3 linked regions of the Solanum lycopersicum genome follow. The protein of the gene in region 1 interacts with the protein of each later gene in a pairwise test. Links are inferred from orthologs where the notes say so. Each region holds a gene or a part of one and is shown on either strand. Other genes may lie near its edges.

Region 1 (4,038 bases):
GAGCAAATTTTATTTACTAAAGCCATATGAGTTTCATTGACCTTTCATCCTTGAAACGATTCTTTATTATTATTCATAAGTAGTATTTTAGATGCTCATGATTAAGTTAAGTAAAATAAATAAATTACCCTTATGCATTAATTAAACTCTACTTATGTAATTGGTGAAGGTTAATTATTGATGAGTAAATAATTGGTGTAAACAAGAGGGCGATTTTATAGGCTAAAAATACGGGTCAAACTAAACTTAGATCTATGCATTTTCCTTCCATTTAAAGCAAGCCATTCATTCAATCTCTTTTCCTAAAATAATTACTATATCTATTTTTATCCTCCCAATGCTTTTCCATGTTCCCACACCTTAATTTGTATAAATATCATATCATATTTTATAATAATGTTTTCTTTGAAATAGATTTTGTATGAGGAAAATTAAGCGACTATCATAAAAGTCTTTTAGAGTATATTATATAGCTATAATATTGATTATTTTTAATATGTGACTATAATTTTGTGAATTTTTGCTATTTGATTCTGATGTATAAATTCAGAATTTGTATAATTCGATTCCTAATCGTATAAAATCAGAATATGTATATATTTATTCTAGTTGTTTGTCTACGGTTTATAAAAAAAATCATAGTAAATAATCGTGTTTCTATATTGGCTAGTGAGATATACAAACAGACAAGTGAAATATACAAACCACAGCCTCCATATAAAGCAAATGGAACTATAGTTATGAAGCACAACTACTGAAACTATAGTATAAAACCTTAACATGTTTATTATATTTGTTATTTCTTAATATACTCCCATATATTATGTTAGATTATAAAATATATTTTTTTATAATTATATTTTGTTTCGTAGCTGAAAGTTATCCGAAATGATGTATTTACAAGTTGAATCATATATTGGCAACCATTTACTAGTATTGTTTTCCAATTTTTTCACACGGATAATTAAGATGAAAATGTTTTAAGTATAGAATTATTTCTAATTATGTAAATCTGATATTATATATATATATATATATAGTGTTATTGTCTTAGCTTTTAAGTGTTTGAAATAAGAATCCAAGACGACATGTAAATATTTTCAACGGGTAAACGAGTTTGGTTATTGACGGTGACACTAAATAGCAAGAAATTGGACTTTTCTTCGTTGCTTTCCCATTTATTTTTCCATCATTATTTATTTTGGAGGTGTGATTTTAAATTATTTTTTTATTTTTTAAAAGCTCGATTAATACATTAAATTAAAAATAAGAATATTTCAATCGCTTGATAAAATTTTTATACATTAATAAAATATATATCATTTAATAATAACTGATTTTGATTGTGTATATATTTTTTTATAGGGTACTATACAAAATTTCAACTATTTTTTTTTTTTAGTAAACATAAGTTTGGTAGTGATGAAAAGTCAATAGATGCAATTAGTCACACGTGAGCAAGCTTTGACTCAGCTGGCAATCAATAATATTTTTTTAGTTTCTTGTGAAAGTACATTTAATTATTTCTTCTAATTAATTAACCTTTGTCTTGCCTTTTTAAGAATCCCCTTTCTCATTTTCCCTCTCCCTTTGAAAACTCAATTATCTTCATCTTAATTTCAATTTATCTTCCATTAACCTCAAGTCATATCTAGAATGTCAAGAGAAAGGTACGTAACACTAATTAATTTACATCTTCAAATCATTATAATCTAATCGTTGTTGTTAAATTCCTTTTAAGAATTATAGATTAATTAGGTCAAATGCACAAAGGCGCGGAGCTAGGGTCTCAAGGAGTTCATTCGCCAAAAAAAATAATTATATCGTATAATTTTCTATTGTGTTCAATTACTACTTCATAACTTGATTTTCCTTATTGAAAATTCTTATTCGATCGCATGGGAGTTAGTTCATTAGCTTAGGTCAAAACCCTACATATTTAATGAGAATTTCAACAAATACATATTAGAACCAACAAAATGAAACTTCAAATTCTGAATCTGGTTCTGGTCGATTTTATATTTGACTTTTTGTTGTGATGAATAGGGAGAGATTAGATGAGATGGGAAAGAAGTTAAAGACAGAGATAGATATTTCACAGCTACAAATGCAACAACAAATGGGAAGAAGACACGTGTTGGGACCTGTTGGGGGAGGAACAACATTGAACAATGTTACACCTTGTGCTGCTTGTAAACTTTTAAGAAGAAGATGTGCTGAGGAATGCCCTTTTTCTCCATATTTTTCCCCACATGAACCTCACAAATTTGCTGCTGTTCATAAAGTATTTGGGGCAAGCAATGTCTCCAAATTGCTAATGGTATATATCTACAACTTGTATTTGAGGTTAACTTTTATGCATCAACAGTACTATACTATCAGATCGCTTGAATGATACTAATGTCTTGGGATAAATCGTGGCTAAAAGGGGTTGATCATATCCTTTCGCAGGAAAATCACACTATATATATGTATATATTATAGATGAAATCATCCTTCCATCATTGACTATGTTTCTATGATCAAAGACGGATCTAGGACTTGAAACTAATTAGCAATAAGTTATAACATCTTTTCTATTAAAAAATATATATTTGTTGACATCATATGTTTTAAATTTTAATATTTGTTGAAATTTTAGTGATGTATATAAATGTGTGAGGTATGTTCCAAGATCAAAATGTTTAGGTTATTTTGAACCCCCTCCATTTTTTCCCATGAACTATAATTGGCTAAAGTATGTTAATACTTATATATTTTTTTATAAATTAGAATGTAACGTTTATCTTGTTGTGACTTTCTTTTTTTTTTAATTAGGAGGTGCCAGTGGGACAAAGGGCAGATGCAGCAAATAGTTTGGTATATGAAGCAAATGTGAGGCTAAGAGATCCAGTGTATGGATGCATGGGTGCAATTTCAACTCTACAACAACAAATTCAAAATTTACAAGTTGAGCTTAATACAATTAGGGCTGAAATATTGAGATACAAATATAGAGAAGCTGCTAATAGTCTTATTGCTTCTATTTCCACCTCTGTGCCACCTGAGCTACCACAAGCTCCTCCTACTCCGCCACCACCACCACCACCACCCTCCGTGGTGGTGGTTTCGTCATCATCTTCTTCTGCATCATCAACTTCTTCTAATTTATACACACCGGCCTCGTCTAGTGTGGCAAACTTTAGTGCCATTACTAATAATAACATATCGTATTTTGATCAGCAATAGTCATATGTCACATAAAATGAAACAGATCAAACTATTGAAGGAAAGATATTTGGAGGATTTTCAGTTCACTTTTTTTTTTTAATTTTCAAACTTGTCATTGCCAAGAGGATTTTATTATATATACATACTATATTGTATCTCCAATTATGATAATTACAGCTAGCTAGAGAGATATTTGATGATGATTAATTGTCTTTTTAATTTTCATTGATTTTGTAATGCTCAATTTGTGCTTTTCAATTTGTATCTGGAAGAGATTTTTCTTTTATTTTTAGACATGCATGCATAGCCTTTTTTTTTAATTAAAAAATAAAATAACTTGAGGTAAATTATTAATTCTCATCTCGAATTCAAATTCTGATAGATGACGTCAAAAAATTTCTTTTACTAGTTCATGTATATTATATCGATACTTTATACCATATCGTGTAACGTTATATATTCTATTCTCTTTAAATTTTATTTACATGATTACACTTAATATGTTGTTCTTATTGTTATTAATGTAATTGTAATCTTAAAAAAAATAGATAATGTTCTACTATAACTAATAAAATTGCATTTTTTGAGTAAAAAAACTTTACCCTTAAAATATAATATAACTAATTAAAACCCCTCAAATTGTACCAGACTTAATTAGGTCTTCTCTATTCTTAGACTTAACAAATTAACTACTTTATTTGTTGTTGCTAATTTTAAATATGATTTTTGCAAATATCGAGAGATTCCTTAAGCCAACTGAAAATCATTTTTGATGTCAAGACAAATTAGTGACCATTAATAAACTATATAGGCTGCAAAATTAATTAG
Region 2 (2,488 bases), on another chromosome or scaffold:
ATATGTGACCAGAGTAGATGGTAAGAGCAAACATATCAAAAAAGTATAACTAAGGGTAAATATAACTCTTTTCTAAGAGTACAAGGACAAATATGATCCTTTATTGTTTTAACAATAATTTATTTCTCATTACATTAAAGCTCAACTAATTTGTTGCATCTAGTAGATCTTGCTCAACAATCATTACATATAAGTTTTCTAGTGCTCGCTATAGGTGTTTATTGTGGGGTTAGTTTGACCCTTACAAAATGAACCACACGAATATCATTTTTTGATTCTTTTACGACTATACAGACCCATACAAACCCTTTTATATCGTTTGTGCTTAACTATGATATTTGACTATTGTATTTATAGCTTATTTTCTTTAATTTCATAATAATATTGTAAGTAGGTATATTGTATAGAAAAATAAGATACTTCCTCTTATCTACTAATAGTTGTCCACTGTAAACTCGACACACTCAGTCAAAAAACAATAAATAGTAAAGAATAATATCACTATAAGTTTGTCATGAAATGAAGAGTAGAAAGCATCAAGAATTAAGGTTTAAATGACAAGATGCAACAAAATAGATACGTTTGATTGATCATAATCACATAGAGCAACTGTAACACAAATTTGCTCGCAACTCTTTTCAAAGTAGACTGCTAAATACAAACTGAAGTGAGATATAAACTTACGGGAAAAAAAAATACTGCCCTTTCAAGTCCTGGCAATCCTTTTGGAGCCTTGCAACTTGTCCATACATATTCAAACGTGTCCCCGGAAGCTTTCTGGTCAATTTACTACTAACAAACATGTACAAAAACATATTTCCTTTTCACTAGTTGGCTACTAAGATGGGAAGACTTTGAAGAGTGGAACAAAAAAGATAATACAAAGTACAGAACTAAAATGCACTGCAGCCCCATTACATTGTCCTTTTCGACCAGGATATACTGTCGCTGTCATGCTGGACTCCTCTGCTCTGGAAGGGGTGTCACTTGGATCCCTTCATATATAGATCATAAACTAGTATACTTCACTAAACATATACTTCACGTCATGTCGCCGTGGGATGCAAAAAGATGCAGGCCCATCTGTCTTTTTATATGGTCTGGTATCAACCTGTTTACGAGGTCCGGAGAGGCACCAGATAACTGAAACCAGGAAAAATTAGGGGGATAAGCAATAGAGTTAAGTCAAGAAAGGCAAGTACAGAATGCGTAACTTCATAGCAATACAGTTTTTCAATATTAATGGCCTTGACATGCTTCTAAATTCTAATGGACAATTGAAGATGGCAATTCCTGCCAAAGATATGCATAGTTAAGTTGTGCTTTTCGTAAAAATGCATGCTTTAACAATTTTCCGCGTCCTTGTAACTAAAATGCTGTTGTGACTAATATCTCCTTCGTAACCAATAAGAATGAAGATAACTGAATAATGAGGTTATCCTTTACAGATACATATTATCGCGTCTTTCAACCAGGCCCCAGCAACTTACAAAGATACTATTTTTCGAGGGAGTTCAACTCTTCAGGCTTCTCCCTGGCCCTCTTTTCAGTAGATATGGAACTAGGATGAAAGGGCCTTCTTTCATCAAGACTCAGTGACAGTGCATAGCTTCTTTAACAATATACGCACCTCACTTAGTTAGATCCTGTTATCTGACATCATGGTATTGGAAAAAAGGGCATTCCTGTAGTCAAGGTGTAATCTCAAACACCTCAGAGTCAATCCACCCCAATAAATATACTGACACAGTCCACCAGAGATGTTTCTCACCACTAGACTAGTCCACTTGTTCTCATTATTGACACTAATTTAATCATCAGAACTTCTTAGCTAGAATGATTTTCACCCAACCTCTAACATAACTTTCTAATAAAATCACAAGAACCTCAAAGGCTTGTTTCAAAGAACAATACAGAAGGACCACCATTAATCCATTAAATCCAGTGGTATTGTTATGTTGTATAAACCTTAACGTTATAGTAGCCCAACTTATTCTTGGTCAATTAAGCATTGGTTCAGTCCATTTCTTAGAAGCCTAATCCACCCCAGCTACTAACAAAAAAAGAAACAGAAATACTCTGATGACCAATGGACCCCCTCTTCTTTGAGTTCGACGAATGGCTGCAGATCCTTTTATCAATCATCAGACATAAGGATGCCTGTGAGTTTCTGGCTTTTTGTTTCTTCTCCCTTTTCTACTTCTGTTTTCTGTCTCAATCTCCATCTTCGTTGTACTCTCAATTATGCCTTCCTTAGTCAGGGAACCATTATTTTTTGCCAAATCCAGAATGAGTATGTCATCGTGTCGTATCAACACCAGTGGCCGGCAATATCTCTAAGAAGCATAAACTTATGACATGCTAGATTGCATTACCCTCATCAAGCTTGCCATTCCAAAACACCAACTTTAAACATGAGGCCCTGTATAAAGATAATTCATTGCATAACGCATCCATGCTCTAGAAAAAGAATGTGCTCGCATTCATT
Region 3 (2,842 bases), on another chromosome or scaffold:
GTATGCTTATCAGCCTGCTATAGTTAATATTGAAAGTAGATTTAGGTCAAAAATAATTATTTTTGCTGAGTAAATTTGTACTATTTAGGGACAATCCTTTGATACTATGTAAGATTTTTCAACCTAAGTTAGTTATTATTATAATAATAATAATAATAAGTCACTTTCTGCGTTTACCCTTTTTCTATACATAACTGGCCTAATTAATTGTAATGCTCTTTCATGCGCCACCTGAAAAGGTGAAATTAAATATCATGTCTCAAAAATCTACCACATCTCAATTGAACAACAAACAAATAAAGTTAATTTAATATGTCAAACATGTACGTATATTTTCACACGTGCAATCATATCGCACAGGTGCGAATCTAGAATGGATCGTGAATGTTAGTAAATAATTTACAAAATTTAATAATTTATGAAAATTCATCTCGATTTATATTCACACAAAAAAAATTTGAATAATATATATATAGGAACACAATTGTTGCGCAAATGTACGTTTTGGACGTATACATTAATTTACTGTATAAAATGTTTTTTTTAAAAAAAAATTAGACTAAAAAGTACAGACAAAGTACTTCAGTTTTATGATGAGCGTGGTACAAAAATATGGAGAATTTGGATTAATATTTAAATAAAAAGGGTATTTACATAATGATGTGCTTCCTCCTAATAATAACATTAATATATTTTCTTCTTTTTTTTCTACTTTTCTTCATAGAAATTACCTTTCTCCCAAAAGCTTGAAAATAGAGAGAATGACAAAAATGAAAAAAAAAAAACAAAAAACGTAATTTTACTAAGTCATTAATTATCCGCCGCCGCCTCCTCACATCCACAACGGCGGCGGTTCGTTCAAGTCAATAGGCAACCCACGTCTCACAATCCCAAAATACATAGCTGCAGCTCCAACATCGTTTTCCTTCGCCGGCGCAGCGACGGTGACCGGCAAGTTAAGTTCCGGCGGCGGACCTACTTGTAGAAACTCTCCAATCATGAGCCTACGTCCGGAGGGGGAAGTCCACCGGTGATCAGATGGAAGGTTGAGATCGAGTGTAAGAGGAGCGGAAGAAGGCTGCGGCGGCGGCGGCGGAGGAGGGGGGAAGTTTGTTTTTGCTTTAGCGCCGCGGAGTGAACGGGCGGCGCCGTCGTAAGCGAGTGCCGCTTCTTCTGGAGTGTCGAAAGTGCCTAACCAGACACGTGTTTTCTTCCACGGGTCGCGAATCTCTGCGGCGTAACGGCCCCAGGGACGCTTTCTCACTCCTCTGTAGTGACCCTCACGAGTGGAAGCCATGGAAATGGGGGAGGAGAGAGAGAGGGGGGGATTTAGAGAGAGAAAGTGTATGAGTGTTGTGTTTGTGTGGGGTTTTGGGAGCTAAAAAAGAGTATATTTGGGCAGCAGTAGTAAAAATAAAAAAGGGACCCACGCAGACACCCGTAATCGTCGGTTGGACGGCACGACCTCTCTCCTAAAATAGGCAAAATATTTAGGTGAACATGTGTTTGGTCGGAAGGAAAATGTTCCGAAATTATAAACAGGCTCTTAAAAAATGAACGAATACTTTTATCATTTCATGGTACTGTATTTTAATACTTATTTTTGGAGAATCGGTTAGTAAGTTACATAAAAATAATGTTAAATAAAATATAGTAATAATGTCTATATTAATTATATATAAAGAGAGATTTTTTTCTTATGCGTTTGATTTGATCTATTAAAAATAACATGTATAATACAAAAAATATTTATTTATAAAAATATTCTGCACTATTATACTAAAAAGCTATAAAAAGAATTTTGAAGGATAGTAGGGTCTTTACTCATACTAATACATATGTTAAATCATTAGCATTAATTGTTGTAGTAAGTTACAAATTTAGGGGCGAATAAAAATTAATTTTACTTAGCAAAACTTAAATAAATAAGAAAAATCATATATAGTAGGGGTATTATTTCGAAAGAGAAAAAAACTAGGTAGCATGGTATACGCCATTGTTTTGACATATCAAACTAAAAATAGGTGAAGTAATAGTTAAACATATGCGATTTCAATAAATTATTTTGCAAATAAACAATTATATATCTTATATTTTACAAATTCTATAGTCATGCTATAGATGGAATGATAAATATAGACTTTTGGTAATGGTAAGTCGGTCCTAAAAAGAGAAAATTTTCTTTCTCTCTTGTTTCTAAATTGCTTCCATGAGAAGCTACAAACTTCGATGAAGTAGTAGTATTTCTTTGATAAGATATACACTCCTGATTTTTCACAAAGGCAGGTGACAACTTTTAAGGAAAATTTACAAAGATATTGTATTTAAGACTATGATTTATAATATAAAATCATATTACATAAACATAATTATTTAATTTGATTTTAGTAAATACTTATGTCCTTCAACGTTGAATATGCACAAATAGATATTTAAATTTGTATAAAATAAAATAAGTAGATACAAATGTTTACATGGCACAATACATCTAGAACGTCATGTAGGACAATAAATTGCCATGTAAAGTATTATGTAGAACAAATGTGTTCATTTGCTTAATTTTATATAAATTTAAGTGTTTACTTGTGCACACCCAAAATTAAATGTCATAGTTTTCAACCGAGTCAAGTTAAGATTCATGTTTATGTATTATGTCTATATAAAATATAACTTTTCTTATTTACAAAATAAATCTTTTAATTAAAAATATGATAATTTAAATTAATAAATATTTTTTAATTTTATTTTTGGTTTTTAAGTCACTAGTGAAGTCGTTTGAAGAATTTGCAAGTTTGTTCTAATTATGGTGGATTCAATTAATCTTTCATTTCCACCCACGTTT

The links.
Region 2: the proteins of LOB domain-containing protein 15 (region 1) and GSK3 kinase BIN2-like protein interact in binary tests that used the Arabidopsis thaliana proteins (3 or more experiments, as listed by UniProt). The link is inferred for Solanum lycopersicum from reciprocal best matches to the Arabidopsis thaliana genes LBD13 and BIN2.
Region 3: the proteins of LOB domain-containing protein 15 (region 1) and ethylene-responsive transcription factor 12 interact in binary tests that used the Arabidopsis thaliana proteins (3 or more experiments, as listed by UniProt). The link is inferred for Solanum lycopersicum from reciprocal best matches to the Arabidopsis thaliana genes LBD13 and ERF12.

What each region holds. Positions count from the first base shown.
Region 1 is NC_090805.1:50,645,686-50,649,723, reverse strand, and holds LOB domain-containing protein 15, read left to right. Parts: upstream 1-1,537; 5' UTR 1,538-1,656; coding exon 1,657-1,670; intron 1,671-2,046; coding exon 2,047-2,320; intron 2,321-2,817; coding exon 2,818-3,228; 3' UTR 3,229-3,502; downstream 3,503-4,038.
Region 2 is NC_090801.1:57,796,287-57,798,774, reverse strand, and holds the end of GSK3 kinase BIN2-like protein, read right to left. Parts: intron 1,144-2,488; coding exon 1,042-1,143; 3' UTR 544-1,041; downstream 1-543. UniProt on the Arabidopsis thaliana protein: Negative regulator in brassinosteroid signal transduction pathway important for plant growth. May be also involved in auxin signaling pathway. Phosphorylates and increases the degradation of BZR1 and BZR2/BES1 by the proteasome.
Region 3 is NC_090801.1:58,883,637-58,886,478, forward strand, and holds ethylene-responsive transcription factor 12, read right to left. Parts: upstream 1,548-2,842; 5' UTR 1,298-1,547; coding exon 833-1,297; 3' UTR 604-832; downstream 1-603.